Danio rerio: one gene and its partners. The protein of the gene in region 1 interacts with the protein of each later gene in a pairwise test. Links are inferred from orthologs where the notes say so. Each region holds a gene or a part of one and is shown in the gene's direction. Other genes may lie near its edges. The genes, in order: dtx2, sec22a, eif4enif1, rfx6 and alkbh4.

Region 1 (4,052 bases):
TCGTATGAAAAAGGTACACCACAGTCATCTAAGAGCTATACTAAACTAAAAGTATATTTTTATTAAAGTGAGTGTGTGTGTGTGTGTGTGTGTGTGCGCTGGTTTTTGGTGGTTTATGAGGACAAAATTTTGTATGACCTAGGCATTACAATGTTGTGGTGGTTAATGAGGACATTACACGTGTCCTTGTAAATCAAAACGGTTAAAGTCATACTTAACAGGGTCTTTTGACATTACAAAGTTTGTCATGTTTCATTTGAAGTTGGGTTTAGGGGTAGGGTGTATAATAATCGTTTTTTTTACAGTATATAATACATTACGACCATGTAATGTCCTCATAAACGTGTGCGTGTGTGTGTAATTATGCACTGAAGCTTTACGCGTATACTGAGAATTATTTTAAAGTTATTTAGAAACAACTTCAGATTGAGTTTAGATGAATGGAGATTATTTTCCTGACACATCAGGATAGCATTAGCACCACCTACTGGATTGAAGACAGGATCACACATTTTCATCTTTACAGTTTTCATTTACAGTGGTAGGTTACAATTAACACGTTGTAAACCACAGGCTATTGTAATGAAAATTGTTATGGTTTCCAGTGTAATGCAAAAAAACGTATTACAATAAGATTTATTAGTTTTAACATACCACAAAAACAAAGCATACAGGCAACAAGAGACTCACAGGAAACATTTGCAGTTTCCATTACAACCAATACAATTACCATTGACACAATTACAAATTCTATTAAAGTTTCAGGATTCAGATCTTACATGACAAAAGTTTTATTACACATTAATTACATTTAATTACACATTAATTAATTCTGACTAATATTTTGGTACAATTGAGAACTCGTGTATTACAGATATTTAAGTGGGATTCTTGTGTTTAACCACAAATACCATATTTAAAATGTATTTATAGAAACATTATTTCTCTATTATAGATCAGTGGTTGTAACACAATAAATCACTTATGAACGTCATCTACAAAGAAAAACGCAGCGTGACTTTTATTTTGTTATTAGTCAGTGTATTACGCTTTTAAAATAAAAGCCATCTGCCGTTGACAACGTACGCAATATAAAGATAAGCATTCAAATTTTGAAGTTAACCATAGCAAAGCATAAACAAAGAATAGACAGTAGTCATTTAAAAAAATCGACATTGCTTTTATATTTGAACAATTTAAAATGTAAACATACCGACAACAAGACGGGTGCTGTTTGTGTCTGCCTTCACAGTGTGTATCTATGGGAATCCACCAGCAGCGACACAAACACACACCGCAGCAGAGGAAGTGTGTCACAAACCACTGCGTACTTTTAAAAACCATGCCGAGCGGCGAGTTTTAAATCACGACCATGCAGCATTAGCCGCCTGCCGACCTAACAGAAACTGTTATTTTACATGAATCCGATTAATGAGCCCGGTAGCCGAGCAGCATCGCACTGAATGGCGAAGAGAAGAGCGAGACGCGGCTAGTCTGAAGCTGCGACTCCAGCAGCCGAGCAAAGAAGATGCGACATCAGTGGGATTACCTTCAAATCTGCGGATAAATAAATGTTCACTCCTGAATTAAACACAGTTTTAACGACATCGAGCGATCTCTTATAGGATACTGCGGGTTAGCTGGGTGGAAAACGAGTGAAACTGAAAGGGTGGTGGTGTTGTTGTTAGCTGGGCCAGGCAGCCCCACTGCTTAACTCCGGCTTATTTTAGGATCGGTTGGGGTCATTTCTTAGCAGACACAATGGCAACAGGCTCCAGTTTCCCTTCCGGAGGGAGTGGAACTAGAAACGGACCGTCTTTCGCTTCGCCGTCGACTTCGTCTGTCACCTCGTCTGGGGTGCCCGGACAAGCTCAGCCGATGGCGGTGGTTTGGGAATGGCAGGATGATCTGGGCTTCTGGAGGCCCTACACCGGACAGGTGAGCAGCTACATCGAGCAGTGCCTCCAGCACCAGAGAGGGGCAGCGGTCGCCGGGAGCAGCATCTGTCTGGCTCAGGCAGACCCCAGCCTGTCCTCCTACATCATCGACATCCCCAACCTCAAACAGTTCAGACAGGACACTGGTGAGTCTGTACTCAACACATCAAACTGATGAATAACAGCAAAAAAGTACTATGAAACTTGTAGCTGTACATGGGCCTGTATAAGATTCGGATGGTATGAAAACCTTGCACACAAATATCGCCGTATTGTGATTAATGTTAATGCTATAAAACAGTTTTATTTTAAATGTCTAACAAACTATTCCCATCAAACAGAATATATTTTACTTTAAGAAACGTTTAAAATATCTTGGAACAGTAAATGTGAGGCTAAATGAATATAATAAATTCTTCAGTGTGTTAATATGGACACCAATAATGCTCTGATAAAGCATTGTCTACCATGTAAACAGAGATTTATGATTAATTTAATTTGATTAAGGTCTTAATCTTACTAAACAGAAATCAAATTAAGACATTTAGTCGCATTATTGAAATGTAGTACAGATATATAAACATGTAGGACTTTCAGTGAAATTTGCGACAGGATAGTCTATATGGCTGTACAAACACTATTCTTTGCATCTCTCGAGTCAATGAAGGACCACAGACACCTGCATCACAAAATGCGGAGGTTTATTTTCCCTCATCATATTACATTAAAACAACACTCTTCTAGCAGTTCATACTCGCATGCAATTTCTTATTTGTCATGGGGCGCATGCATGAAATGTTCCAGAATGAAAGTGAAAGTACCAAACTGCAGTAAAAGTCGACAACTTAAAAATGAAACACCTGAAATTACACGAAACCCAGCAGGAAATGTGGATAGCTAAAACAAGGCTAAATTTGGCCTGTCAGTGAAAATCTAATAGACATTTAAGAATCGGCCAACATTCGACTAGTCATCAAATAAACAGAAATGAATGACTAATGATCTGTTTAATCTGCATATTTGATGACTAATCGAATATATAGATTAATCAAATAGTGTTTTATAATTTTAGTTTTCATTTTTGGGTGAACGATCCCTTTAATCAACATATTTTATAATATTTTAGGCAAATGAAAGCATCACTTCAGGTGATGAATTACAAAACAATTGTGTGAAAGTGAATATCCATGTTTTACGTATGGCAAGCATTTTCTTTTTGTTTAAAATGAGATCTAATAGATGTCTAATAGACATCTAAGGCTAGATAAAACATTGCCAAACGTGGTTTGTCAGTGAAAATCTAATAGACCTCTAAGAATGGCCCTAAACTAGTTATCAAAACCACAGGAATGAATGACTGCACACGTGTGGAGTCTGTCTAATCGGTGTATTTGAGCACTAGTCTAGTTTTGGGCTGTTCTTAGACGTCTATTAGATGTTCACTGACAGCCTATTTAGCCAAGATGGATCTATTAGACATCTATTATGCATCTATTAAACAGAATTGCTTTGCAAGGTGTTGCATAAAAAAATGACTTTTTAATAATGTAAACAAAGAAAAATAATTTAAACTTTGCAGTAGAGAGAGACCTCTTTCATACACTGTAAAAAATGCCGGGTTCCACATAATTCAGTCATGTTGTTCCAACACAAATCGATTAATTAATTTAACACTTTTAACAAATTAATGTGGATCGAACATAAAAAAAATTAAGTTGTCCGAATGAACTCTCAAGAATTATGTTGTTTCAGCTCATTTTAAATAAGTAGTTAAACGAGCAAAACAAAATATTTTTTGAATGTAACATTAAATTATATTAATATATACATTTTTACTTGTCTTGGACTGTTATACTACGATATGTGAAGTTATTACTGTCTAGTACTGCCACAGCACTTTAAGAGAGTGTTAGGGAAATGTGCTTTTTGCTCATTTGGATTAAGTAAATGTGTTGTCAAGGAAGAGTCTGTAAAATCCACAGAGTGAAAGAAGCCCTGTGTGAATCTTGGCTGAAACTGATTAATTCACTTGCTCTAAATGTATGGTATTTATGCTTTATCCTTGATAACAGGTCATCAAAGCTGCTGGGAAAAGCAGTGTAGTGTGCTGCAGTA
Region 2 (3,522 bases), on another chromosome or scaffold:
AACAAATCACAGTGGGGTGCTGTGCACTGGTTGCCAACTGTTCTGATGCAAAATTAAAAGTTCCCCTTCAGCAAGGTCTAATTCAGATGCATTACACTGACGGACCCAGGGGTGACCATTTCATAGCCTGGCTGCTATTCATCAGTCCACACTTCACAAGCAGGCAGAAACAAGTCCGATCTCTCTCTGGACTGACTCAGTGGATCGTTTCATCTCTCAAATAGACGTTAACATGGAGAGACACACTGACAAAGTTTCTTCTTTCCTGAGGGCGAGTTACTAAACTGTTCAGATTCAAAGCAGGTGTAAAACAGAGGGTGATGGGGGATTTTTATACACAATGGTTATTTGAATGCGAAGGTCATTGGAATGGACTTTCTTGACCTTGCCCGTCCTGTCTGGGAATGACAGATGTCATGTTTTTACATGTTTTGCTTCCCAGAGCTGTCAGTGTGTCAACTTATTCATCTTCTATATTGAATACTAAATGAAAATTGACTGTAGAAGTATGATGTAAACTGTGACATGTCTTGTTTTCCACAGCTTCACAAGCTCTCTCGGAGTTGGGTACTTGATGGTTTGCACAGAGAACTATCCCAATGTCCTGGCCTTCAGCTTCTTAGATGAGCTTCAGAGAGAGTTCATAGTCACGTATGACACCAAGCGGATCAACAGTGCTTTGAGGCCTTTCTCTTTCATTGAGTTTGGTGAGTTTCTTAAGGGGGTCAGGACAGGTTTCTAACAAGGCATCTGTTTTTGCAAAGGGGGATCATATTTTTTTTGTTTATTTAGGACCTAAAACGTACTTACATGAGAAACATTCTGTGTTGTAAATGAAAAATTTAACTAATTGAATTGAATGATAACAACAAAGATTGGAAACCCAATATTGTCAGTACAGTTTTAAAACCACACAGCCTGTGTTGTGTATTTATATAAATATTCATGCTAATTGCTTTGCATGTTTCATTGTCACATTTTGATCTGAGTAGCTCATGATAACAGTGTTATCTGCAGTTTTCTACCAAGCTTTAATCTATCATTTACCAAAACAAAACTAAAAACTAATATTATTATTATTATTATTATGTAAATAAAAAATCTTTAAAAACAATTAGGTCATAAAACTATTGAACATTAATATTAGATATTAAGTTAACATTATTATTAGATCATATTTCATATTTAGATATTTATTTATTTGTATATTAGTAAAAAAAAGGCATCAGAACATTTAATGAATTATTTATTTTTTAAATATTAAATTTTGTAGCTGATTAAAGTGTTAAAGGGCACCTATGATGAAAATGTGTGTGTGTACCTCACTGTGTGTAGGTATAGTGTGTCCACAGTCATACTGGAGTGATAGAAACTCAACATATCTCTTTTTAAAAAATTGCCTGATGTTAAAATAAGATCCAAATTCCTCCTGTTTTGAGGCCCACCGCAACGTGACAAAGGAGTGCAGTTTTCCTACCCACTAATTTGGTTGACGGCCGTGTATTAACATGTCTTCGTAGTAACGTGTATAATCATATCAACAAGACAGGATGTGCACAAAGCAACTGGGATTAAATTATCTGTTCAGCTCACTGTGATCATCTATCATCATAAAATGTGATCAAGAATGAGTTTTTACAGGTTTAAAAAATTTTTAAAGCAGTGCATGTTTATAATGAATTACAGCGACATTATCCTCACAGCCGCGTGTCAAAACAGTTATAAATCCCGGTTTGTGGACGTTAAATTAGGTTTATTTTGTACATTAACATAACAGACATAACAGGCACGTGGGAACAGTGGGTGGGGAGAACTAGCATTAAAGGGTCAGGCCACAAATACAGCTACATTGTGTTGAAAGCAGAAAATTCTAATATTCTAAAAGGTATAATAAATAATTTGATGGGTGTTTTGAGCTGAAACTTTACAGACACTTTCTGGAGACACAAAAGACTTATCTAAATCTTGAAAAAGGGGTAAAATAGGGGCCCTTTAATGTCTTCAAAACAAAACTTGTTCACTCCAAACTTTTGATTGACAATGTAAGCAGTATATATCAGTTGTGTGATGTATAGACAGTATATTATATAGTGTATAACTTTTTATTGTTATCATCATTTCTGAAACCGCTGAGTCTGAGCAGTTTAACCTGAAAAAAAAGAAACTTGCACTAAATGAAGTGTATTTATAAACTAATTTTGAGAGGATCACGTGCTTATAATGCGGCCCTGCATTATTCAATTCATGATTCACCAATCAGACGATTCCTAAACCACTATAAATACCATAAGTTCTATATGACAGACATCTTCGTTTTGAAGTAGTTATCTCTTAAGAGCAATCACTATCTGGTCATTAGTTACTACATCAGGGGAGTTCTACCTGAGCTCAAATTCCCCTCTCGCCTTGCAAATGGGAGGGGGCCCAGGGCTCGAGGATCTTATGAGCTTAGGGCTCTCTCCTGGGACAGCATGCCAAACAAGCTTTATAATCAATCATCAGCTAAGTGTGAACTCTTGAACTGATCTTAAAATATCAGCGTGTTTGTCGTCTCAATTTTGGACACCTGTAATTCTTTTATGGCAAAAAAATGTCCTAAGTGAAATATGGCCTAATCCTAGCTTAGTCTAAGCTCTGTGAAACTAGGCCACCTTGTCTTCATTTCTGTCAGGAGGTGTACAAAATCAAAAAGCATACATAATTGGTTATTTTAAACAATTGACTTAAGTTATGTGGTTTAATTTACTTAAATAAAAAGTATCTAAAATAACTAGCCCTTCGGCATCATCTGCCTGAATGTATTTGTTTGATATGATAAATGTGTGCATGTCTAATGCAAAACAGCCTTGATGGTTATTCGTTAATCTGATTGAAACCATTACCTCCTGAGTTTGGCAGAATGAAATGTTTCTCGCTGTAAGATTCAGGAAAGCTCAACACACTTTCTTGCCATTAGTCTGGTGTTAATTATTTGATCACATCCAATACAGACCCTTTCACTTGGCACTGAAAAGTATTTGCTCTAATTAGTTCCACTTATATTAGTTCCACACGAACAGTTTCACCAACCTTGAGCATTAGTCGATCTCTAAAAAGCATGATGAGTTTGAGTAAACATTAATAGATTTGCATCTTTTGTGGAACATTTAAATGTAGTCATTTACGAGCCTTATTTGGCTAGGGATCATTGGATTTATCTAAAGAACTACTTCGAATGCAGAACCTCCATTTAACTTGGTATGAAATGCATTGAAGCAATTTGTAACATACAGACCCACGTTGTGATGCCCAGCTTTGATTTAGTGTGCCGTTTCTATGGTTTTTGACAGATAACTTCATTCGGAAAACCAAGCTGCGTTACAACAGCCCACGTTCGCTCTCTACCAAGATTAATCTGGCCGACATGCAGACCGAGATCAAGCTCCGGCCTCCTTATCAGCTCTCGGCGGAGGACATTGGATCAATCAACGGCTTCTCACAACACAAGGAGTCTAAATATAAAGGCATAGGTAGGGAACACGA
Region 3 (4,060 bases), on another chromosome or scaffold:
ACGTTACTTTAGACACATAACCTTTAGTCCATCGCCGCGCAATCTTCCTGCAGGTAACGTAACCTGAACTATAATTAAAGTAAAGATAAAGTCATTTAAGTTTTCACTTAACGGCTAAGACATGTTGTAGCTCGGTAAATAGGTGTCATCATTCTGACAACTAGTATCAACAACAAAACATAACTGCCGCTCTTCTGAGTTAAAAGAACATTCTTCCGGTAAACAATGTCAAAATAAAAGTTTTTTCAAAGGCCTCATTAAAAATAACAGTTTAAAAATGTAGGTTAAATTATTAAACGTATGTTTAAAAATTCTGTTGTATGATGTAAAAATACAATTTTACTTTTTAAAATGTAATAATTTTATTTCAAAATAATGTGTTATTAATATTAATAGCATTACTATTATTCCTATTATCGATGCAGACTTTATAAAGAGCAATTGATATTTTACTTATGCCTTTGAACATGTATAAAACGTCATGCCTTTGAACATGTATAAAACGCTTTTAACTAAATATAATCTCTTCATAAAAAGCTCTTAGTTTTGCTCAAAATCCTGTAAACCAACCAACAAAAACAAACTCAACCTGAATAAAAAAAACTTAACTGAGCGTGTTAGATCCTGTCACGTGACTACAATTTATAAAGGGTGGCCGCGTTGAATGCCTGAAACATATTCGTGTTCAAAATTCTTTAACGCCTCTTGTAAACAGCGTTGTATAAAATACACACTTCTAACCTCATAATTTCACATTCTGTATTGTAACATTTGAAATCTTCATCAAAAATAAGACCTAGTTTCGTAAAACTTTAGAGAAGGCGTGATTAGAAGCTATATAATCCTTGATTGGGGCCTTTCTCAGAACCAGTCAGAGATCTGAAGAAATTCGCCGCTCTGCGACTGAACAGAGACGAAAGAGAGAGCTCTGAGAAAGTACCCCGAGGTACATTGATGGTAGAAGCCGGAATACAAGCTTTAATTAAGTCGTCGAACCAAAATTTCCGCCCGATTTATTCCTAATATACGTGAGCTTTAATTTACTAGCGCGCTTTAGACCTGCGCTGTTCAGATTTATGAGTGTGGATAAGTTTCCTAGCCCGCTAACCTGGCTCACTAGCCTATAAATAAACAAACAAACACGGCGTTTTTCCATGTTTATCGCTCCCACGAAAAAACCCAAAGGAGAAATAAACCAAAGGTACAATTAAAGTCTGGACAAATAGTCGTTCGTCTGTAAGAACCTAAATAAATCCTCGGCGTCGGCTTGATAAGTGTAGCCAGTTTGCTAATGAGATGCTCCTCTCTGTCAATTAACGATTCCACCTGGAGTGACAAGCGATATCTGAACCCCCTTCAACACCGTCGATAGAGAAACTTTATTTTTATGCAGGAAACTTCATCCGCGTCCTTTCTGAATTCTGGACTGACTCCGGCATTTCTTGTAGTTTGGTATAAGACAGGTAGCCAGAAGCTAGCTAACTGAGGTAACCCGGCGGGGACAGAGAAGGTGCTGTGACACCGTTTCAAATATCAGGTGAGTTGATAAATGTGCTGACCAACACTTATTTTTTAGAATATTTTAGTTATTCATAGATTGAAAGTTTAGATTCGTGCTTTAGCATCTGGCTGGTTAGGCTTTTTGCAGTTTGTTTGCAGTCTGCCTCGTCATTTGCTAATACAGCAGCTTCTCATATTACACACGAGCCAGACATTTACATCATATTAAATCGCTACACCTTATATCCGTCTTAATGGATTCAAGTTCAATTTTATTTGAAGTCTTCGCTGACTGAGGAGTTTTTATACTTGCTAAGATGCTTGTTTGTATAATCACGCTCAGTTACTCACTGGTTTTAATCTAGATAACTTGGTTGTTATAAAGAGGATAGTTCAGTCAGAAATGTTAATTTGCTTTTAATGTCATTAAAATGTAGGAGATTTATTTGTTGTTGAACTGTTTTTTTCTTATTGTAAGTTTTATTTTTTATTTTTTAAATTGTAATGTACCTGTATCTAGAGCTGTGCGATTTTGAGGAAAATATCCAATTGCAATTGTTTTGATATATTGTGATTTAATTTGAGATTTTAATTTTGTAGTCAAGCTTAAGCTCAATCTGCATCAAAGCTCCTTACTGCTAAAATGCAGTGTGTTAGATAAAGAACTCGATAGTTATTAACTTACTCCAACATTTATTCAAATTAGTTTTTAAATATTCAGTAATTAAACTCATTTTTTTCTAGAGTAGGGGTGCCTAAACATTATTCTTATGAACGGCCAAAAATCAAAGTTGATTGAGGCGAATGGGTCGAAGGCAAATATAGGTGGGGTAATTTCATCAATTTTCTTTTTGACTTATTCCCTTTATTAATTTGGAGTCGCCACAGTGTAATGAACCGCCAACTTATCCAGCGTATGTTTACCCAATTCACCTGTACCATAAGTCTTTGGACATGTTGGGGAAACCGGAGCACCCAGATGAAACCCATGCAAACACAGGGAGAACATGCAAACTCCACACAGAAATGCCAACTGACCCAGCCGGGGCTCAAACCAGTGACCTTGCTGTGTGGGTAGACGATTGTGCTACCCACTGTGCTGCCCATAGGGTTATTTACCACGGGTAATTTTCTATTTCATTTAATAATGCTTAAAACTGACTAGAAAACATTGCTTTCAATTAACTAATACAGCATTTAAAAAAAAAAATTTATTACAGTAAAAACAAAACAATGTATAACAAATTTACACTAGTTTATGCCTAGATTTTCCTGCCTATGTCTTCTACATAGTCCTTTATCCGTTGAGTGACAGTATTTACATTTATTTTTTTCATTCTGATTAATTTGCATTTAATTGAAACATTTCATTTCTGTTTGCTTTTTTTTTTGCTCAGCAATATAACAAACCAAAAAAAAGGTTACATCAAATAAAAAATGACGCTCTCTAAAACCGTAAGACGTTCACACCAACCCTCTTCAACATACTTGCTCTCCTCTCAGATGGGATGATAGGCCAAATCAAAGGTTACAATGGGCCAACTTTGGCCCGCGGGGCCAACTTTGGTCAACTCTGCTCTAGAGCAAACAGTAAGCACAAATAAAATTACCTTACCTTTTTGTAAACAAGTTCAACTCAGATTAGGGAAATAATGTATCTTAAACAAATGTTTAAAAAAATATAAAATTTTATAATTCTAAAAATACAGAACACTCAGCATACTAACACGACAGATATAAGACGGATTGAAAGGTTCTGATTGGGCAGAATGAAAGCATGCTCTCTCGATTGGCTAGTAAGACTTTCATACACAGATGGCAGTCACACATTTTCTCTGGGTGGGGGAAATTAAATGAATGCATATATTCCCTATCACTGCCTCTTGCGATTTAGCTAATTGTAACTTTTCAAATTGCGATTCAATTTTGATTAATTGCACAGGCCTACCTGGAACTGTTGTCCCTGGTGATAAATAAAATGCATGTTAGCAGCTTATGATAATTTGAGAGGTAAAAAAAAAAAAACATGATATCAGAACCAGAATAATGATCAACTTGTATAGATTACAAATACAAATTCTTTAAGCTTTATATAACTTAACCATTGCATAAGCACAATTACCCTTCAAGTATGAGTATAACTCCTTACCTAAGATAATAAATTAAGGATTTTGCATACATGCAGCGTTCAGAAGCAACTTTACAAAGAAAAAAAAAAACAAGTCTTGAATTGTAATTATCGGCCGATTCGGATCTCCAACCAATTGATTGGAGCATCCCTAATAGAAATATCACTAAATACTAAAAATATATTTTAATGTTCTACTGGTGAAAAAGTCCCCTTCATATTGAATGGCCTAAGGATGAATAAATAAACCGTATATTGTTTTTTTGGAGTGAATGGGGTATATGCACATAGACTTTACATTTATGTCAGCCTCTCTTTTTATGGTTTTATAACCAAATGGATGCATTTCAAATATAATCAGGTAAATAGATTAAAGCATTACAACATCGCTGCTGTAAAAAGAACCTCATGAAATTGAAAATAGTCACAAAT
Region 4 (2,860 bases), on another chromosome or scaffold:
AAGTAATGATATTTGATTAAAGACTATGAGGGCAAAATTATTTTTACAGCGAAATGCTAATGGTCTAATCCGATTCAATGATCTATGGTAAGCTAAGTTAAAAGGGCTTAGCTTTTGACTGAAGATCATCTGAACTAATTAAAAAAAACCTCTACTTTTTAACCAGGGGGCAAAGCGAGCCTAATTTGTAAAAATAAATGAAGAGTGTTCCTTTAAACACACACACAAAAATGCTTACTGGCAAGTCATCTTTCCTGACAACTCAGTTTGAACTTAAGCAGATCATCTCTACAAGCATAAATACACCGCTGCTGTCCTGTGATTGGCTGATTATATATTTGCATTAAAGTTGGAAGTTAAGATTTTCCTCTACTGTGATGTACATCCGATTGAAACCGTCCTGAAAGGAGGTTGGTGCATAATTTTAGACGTTGCTAACAAAAAGAAAGATTAACAAATGGTCAAATTCAGAGCAGAACAAGACAACCACTGATATCCTCTCCAGAGTCCCGACAGCATAAATTGTGATTTAAAGTGAAGAAAAGTTGTTTCAAGGGAGAGAGAAAGTCATGATATTTGATTAAAGACTCTGACGGCAAAATTATTTTTACAGTAAAATGCTAATGGTCTAATCCGATTAAAAAATCTATGCTAAGCTAAGATCGGCTAAATGAATTCCAAAAAAATGATAAAACTCAACTTTTTACCCAGGGGACTTGCAAAATGAGCCTAATTTATTTAAAAAAATTTAGTGTTCCTTTAAACACACACAAAAATGCTTGCTGGCAAATTATCTTTCCGGACAACTCAGTTTGAACTTAAGCAGAATTTTCGCAAACACATTCAGACTTTAGCAAAACAGTTAGAATAGATGTACTGGTCTTTAATAATAATAATAATAATAATAAACTTTATTTGTGTAGCACTTTTCCAACATACATGCAACTCAAAGTGCCTCACAAACAACAACAAAAGCATTAAAATAGACCACAAAACCTATCACATATACTGAAATAAAAGCATTCATGTACACAAAATATAAGTATATATCCACATGATTACACACACAATAGTCCTTACATATGCAGGCACACACCATACATTACATACATAAACCTACAACAAAATAGATAAAATGCGTACACCTAACAAACTTGTTTAATCATACGCAATTTTAAAAAGATGTGTCTTAACACGCTTTTTAAAAACATGAATACTTGGGGATTCTTTCACTTCAAGGGGGAGACAGTTCCAAATTTTTGGAGCATAATGGCTAAAAGAAGTGCCGCCAGATCGCATCAGGTTTACAGGATAAAATTCTTAAAGTCCAGCACTAGAAGAGCGTAGCAAACGGTTTGGATTATATTTTGTTAAACAGTCGAAAATGTAGGAAGGTGTCATGTTGTGTAGTGCTTTATAAACTAATAAAAGAATCTTAAAATTTATCCTTTGGTGCACAGGCAACCAGTGTAATGCTGGTGTAATACAGTGTAATGTTTCTATGCAAAGAAAAAGTACCAAATTTATTATCTCTTTTAATTAAATCAATATGCTGCACAGAAGGTTCAAACTAGTTTGCAGATGCTCCTATTGAAACTTTAACATTCATCTTTCTTCTGTCCAGGATATTACGGCAGCAGCAGTGGTTATGTGGATGCTCCGAGGATGGGCACATTTATCGATCAGCATGTGTCGGTTATCAGCAGCGTGAGCAGCATTCGCTCAGTTTCGGCCTACGCTGAAGCACACGACCCTCTAAACATCCTGGACGACACCAGCAGGAAGACAAGACCTTACTACACCGAACTGTCCGCAATGGGCACACACACAGCAGGTCAGGGCAAAACAATCCTTCTAGGGGAGCCTGCAGGTAGTTACACAGTCAATTATGGGATAACGAGAATTGGTTCCAATTTAAACTTTTTTCTGAATTTGTTTATCTGTTTCTATAATTTCCCTGACATTAATGTTGTTTTTAATATTTGTTTATGCTTGTGAAGCACGCTGAGTTGCATGTGATGTAGGAAAGGGGGTAATACAAATAAAAACGTATTATTATTTTTATTATTATTATTATAAGGTAGGGGGCACGGTAGCTCAGTGGTTAGCACTGTCGCCTCACAGCAAGAAGGTCACTGGTTCAAGTCCTGGCTGGGTCAGTTGGCATTTCTGTGTGGAGTTTGCATGTTCTCCCCATGTTGGTGTGGGTGTCCTCCGGGTGCTCCGGCTTCCCCCACAGTCCAGAGACGCGATATGGGTGAATTGCGTAAACAAAATTGGCCATAGTGTATGTGTGTGTGTGTGAATATGAGAGTGTATGGGTGTTAAAACAAATGCTGAAATAGTTGGCGGTTCATTGCACTGTGGCGACCCCTGATAAATATTCATAAATATTCAGTTAATGAAACAATCATTATAAGGTGTTTATTGTAATCAGGTCAAGGCATGTTGACGCATTTTGTTGAAACAAAATACTGCTTTTCTTGAAGTTTTTGTCTTGTTTCTTGTCCAAATATTTAAAAAATATTCAATCAAAAGCATTTACTAGACAAATAAAAATATTGTTTTGTTTTCAGAAATAATAAGTCAAAATTAAGTGAGCTTTTTCTTAAAACAAGATACATTTTCTGCCTTTGGTGTAAGTAAAATAATCTTTAAACTGACAACAAGTTTATTTACCCTCCAGGTATATATTCCTAAAACAACATTTATTTTACTTGTCTAGAAAATGCTTCTTGATTTAAGAGTTTTTAGATATTTGGACTAGAAACAAGACAATAACTGGAAGAAAAACTATTTTTTTGCAACAACACTAACAACTCATATTTACCATGATTTATAAAAGGCACACCATAAAATG
Region 5 (2,664 bases), about 2.0 Mb from region 1:
TTATTAGCCCCCCTAAATTATTAGCTCCCTGTTTAATTTTTCCCCCAATTTATGTTTAACGGAGAGAAGATTTTTTTTCAACACATTTCTAAACATAATAGTTTTAATAACTCATTTCTAATAACTGATTTATTTTATCTTTGCTATGATGACAGTAAATTATATTTGACTAGATATTTTTCAAGACACTTCTATACAGCTTAAAGTGACATTAAAGGCTTAACTAGGTTAATATGGTGAACTAGGCAGGTTAGGGTAATTAGGCAAGTTATTGTATAATGATTGCAGGGGTGGACTGGCCATCTGGCAATTCTGGCAAATGCCAGAAGGGCCGGACCATTTTTTTAAATGTGGGCCGGTCAGCTATTTATTTTTTATATATATATTGTTTTTACTTGTAGCCCGTTTTTCGATGATGATAATAGTAATAATAATAATAAATGTTAAGCATTGGCCCAATCGACAATGACCGGCTGGTTTCGAGATGGGCCATCCTCATCAGAGGTTATGCGGAATGTAATCTGGCAAGAATGTCAAACAAACATTAGGTGCAACACAAGCTAATTGTTAGAGATGGACCATAAAAAAGGAAATGCAGTGCCGAAAAGCTCAGAGAAAGCAAAATAAAAAAGGCTCTAAAATCAGATGCTGCCAAATGCATAAAATGAACTGAACTATTCTCGAAAGGGGGCAGCGCAGTGGGTAGCACTGTCACCTCACCTCATAGGTTAATTGGGTTGGTTTAATTGTCAGTTGTGCATGTATGTAAATGTGTGTATAGGGGTTTTCCAGTGATGAGTTGAAGCTTGGAGGGCATCCGCTGCGTAAAACAAGTTACTAAATAAGTTAGCGGTTCATTCTGCTGTGGCAATCCCAGATTATTAAAGGGACAAAGCTGAAACGAAAATGAATGATTTCATATATAAATTTGTTTCAAATGGGTTGGGTCGCATACATAAAATGTTTAAATATCTAATACATATGGTACTGCTTATATTATTTTACTATCTGTACACCAATATATGTAGTAAATGTGCGTGTCCGTGGATGGGGCTGTGTCAGTGTAGTAATGTGGGCTGGTGTGGCTACAGTGCCAGGGCTGATTTAAAGTCCCAGTCCGCCCCTAAACGATGGTTTACTCTGCAGACGATCAGAAAAAAAAGCTTAAAGGGGCTAATAATTTTGTCCCTAAAATGGTATTTAAAAAGTTAAAAACTGCTTTTATTCTAGCCGAAAAAAAAACAAAACAAATAAGACTTTCTCCAGAAGAAAAAATATTTCTGAAGTATATAAGTCCTGAAGAAACTGAAGTATGGGGTGACGTGAACAAAATCATTGATCCATTTAGGTGGAAGTGACAAACTGCAGGCTTTGGATGCTTATATCAGTTTAATATCTTCTAAACCTGGGTTTTATCACGGTTTTGGAGCACACTAGCTTATAGATATTCTTAAAACTAACATACTGATACTAAAAACTAGAAAACCTTTATTTTAATTTCATGAGACATCTGTCTATCCAAAGGACTTTGGGCCAAAGGTGAACTTCAAGAAGCGCCGTGTCCATGTGGGAAGCTTCAGCGGCCTGCCTGCTATCAGTCGTCGGCTGCTGGTCCGGATGTCAGATTTACCCCAGTTATCTTCGTTCAAACCAGTGGAGCAGTGCAACCTGGACTATGATTCTCTCAGAGGCTCCGCCATCGACCCACACTTAGACGACAGCTGGCTGTGGGGAGAAAACCTGGTCACCGTTAACCTGCTCTCGGACACCGTTCTGACCTTGAGCTTGGATCAGGGCTGGGGAGACATGGAGCAGGGCGAGGTGAGGGTGGCTGTGCGTCTTCCCCGCAGGTCTCTGGTTGTGCTCTACGGAGATGCACGGCACCGGTGGAAACATGCCATCCACAGAAAAGACATTCACGGCCGCAGAGTGTGCAGCACCTTTCGGGAGCTCTCGGCTGAGTTTCTCCCCGGAGGACAGCAGGAGAAACTGGGCTCAGAGTTGTTGGATATAGCGCTGAGCTTCCAGGGTGCTCCTCTATAAGACAGCTCCACTTAGATGCATGTTTGTTTGTTTGTTCAATTGCACAAATGTAAAGTGATTGTTTTAATTGTTAATTTAAATAAATGCTTTTTATCAGTCTGTTCATCATGTTGTTTGTTTTCACCAGATGGCTTGTATAGCTCTATTTCAAAAGAAATAATCCATCTAGATTGATTGTCGTGGTTTTGTAAGGGTGTGAATCGTGCATAAAAATCATACACAAATTGCAAGCAAATTTACTTACAAATATACATATATATATAAAGCCATGAAATAGTATGAGGTGCCGTATAGGATTTAAATCAAACTTTGCTTATCAACACATACATAAAACACATGTATATACACCTATAAATTACTCGCATATACACCTATACTACTGGATGTTCAAAACAACATGGATGAAACTTGTGTATATACATATAAACTTGACGCATGAATACACCCACATACACACGCACATACATATAAACTCGATCCTCACATAAACACTCACATTAACACACGCACATACATATAAACTTGCTGCATGCAAACACACCTATACACACTTGCATATACATATAAACTCGATTCTCGCATAAATACCCACATTTACATGCACATACATATAAACTCGCA

What was found.
Region 2: the proteins of dtx2 (region 1) and sec22a interact in binary tests that used the Homo sapiens proteins (3 or more experiments, as listed by UniProt). The two-hybrid records come from large-scale screens. The link is inferred for Danio rerio from reciprocal best matches to the Homo sapiens genes DTX2 and SEC22A.
Region 3: the proteins of dtx2 (region 1) and eif4enif1 interact in binary tests that used the Homo sapiens proteins (3 or more experiments, as listed by UniProt). The two-hybrid records come from large-scale screens. The link is inferred for Danio rerio from reciprocal best matches to the Homo sapiens genes DTX2 and EIF4ENIF1.
Region 4: the proteins of dtx2 (region 1) and rfx6 interact in binary tests that used the Homo sapiens proteins (3 or more experiments, as listed by UniProt). The two-hybrid records come from large-scale screens. The link is inferred for Danio rerio from reciprocal best matches to the Homo sapiens genes DTX2 and RFX6.
Region 5: the proteins of dtx2 (region 1) and alkbh4 interact in binary tests that used the Homo sapiens proteins (3 or more experiments, as listed by UniProt). The two-hybrid records come from large-scale screens. The link is inferred for Danio rerio from reciprocal best matches to the Homo sapiens genes DTX2 and ALKBH4.

What each region holds. Positions count from the first base shown.
Region 1 is NC_133180.1:65,408,675-65,412,726, forward strand, and holds the start of dtx2 (probable E3 ubiquitin-protein ligase DTX2), read left to right. Parts: upstream 1-1,248; 5' UTR 1,249-1,761; coding exon 1,762-2,083; intron 2,084-4,052. UniProt on the Homo sapiens protein: Regulator of Notch signaling, a signaling pathway involved in cell-cell communications that regulates a broad spectrum of cell-fate determinations.
Region 2 is NC_133184.1:39,565,239-39,568,760, forward strand, and holds part of sec22a (vesicle-trafficking protein SEC22a), read left to right. Parts: intron 1-543; coding exon 544-707; intron 708-3,329; coding exon 3,330-3,509; intron 3,510-3,522. UniProt on the Homo sapiens protein: May be involved in vesicle transport between the ER and the Golgi complex.
Region 3 is NC_133181.1:43,478,330-43,482,389, forward strand, and holds the start of eif4enif1 (eukaryotic translation initiation factor 4E transporter), read left to right. Parts: upstream 1-1,246; 5' UTR 1,247-1,537; intron 1,538-4,060. UniProt on the Homo sapiens protein: EIF4E-binding protein that regulates translation and stability of mRNAs in processing bodies (P-bodies). Plays a key role in P-bodies to coordinate the storage of translationally inactive mRNAs in the cytoplasm and prevent their degradation.
Region 4 is NC_133195.1:45,805,835-45,808,694, reverse strand, and holds part of rfx6 (DNA-binding protein RFX6), read left to right. Parts: intron 1-1,624; coding exon 1,625-1,984; intron 1,985-2,437; coding exon 2,438-2,443; intron 2,444-2,860. UniProt on the Homo sapiens protein: Transcription factor required to direct islet cell differentiation during endocrine pancreas development. Specifically required for the differentiation of 4 of the 5 islet cell types and for the production of insulin.
Region 5 is NC_133180.1:67,366,397-67,369,060, forward strand, and holds the end of alkbh4 (alpha-ketoglutarate-dependent dioxygenase alkB homolog 4), read left to right. Parts: intron 1-1,524; coding exon 1,525-2,043; 3' UTR 2,044-2,146; downstream 2,147-2,664. UniProt on the Homo sapiens protein: Dioxygenase that mediates demethylation of actin monomethylated at 'Lys-84' (K84me1), thereby acting as a regulator of actomyosin-processes.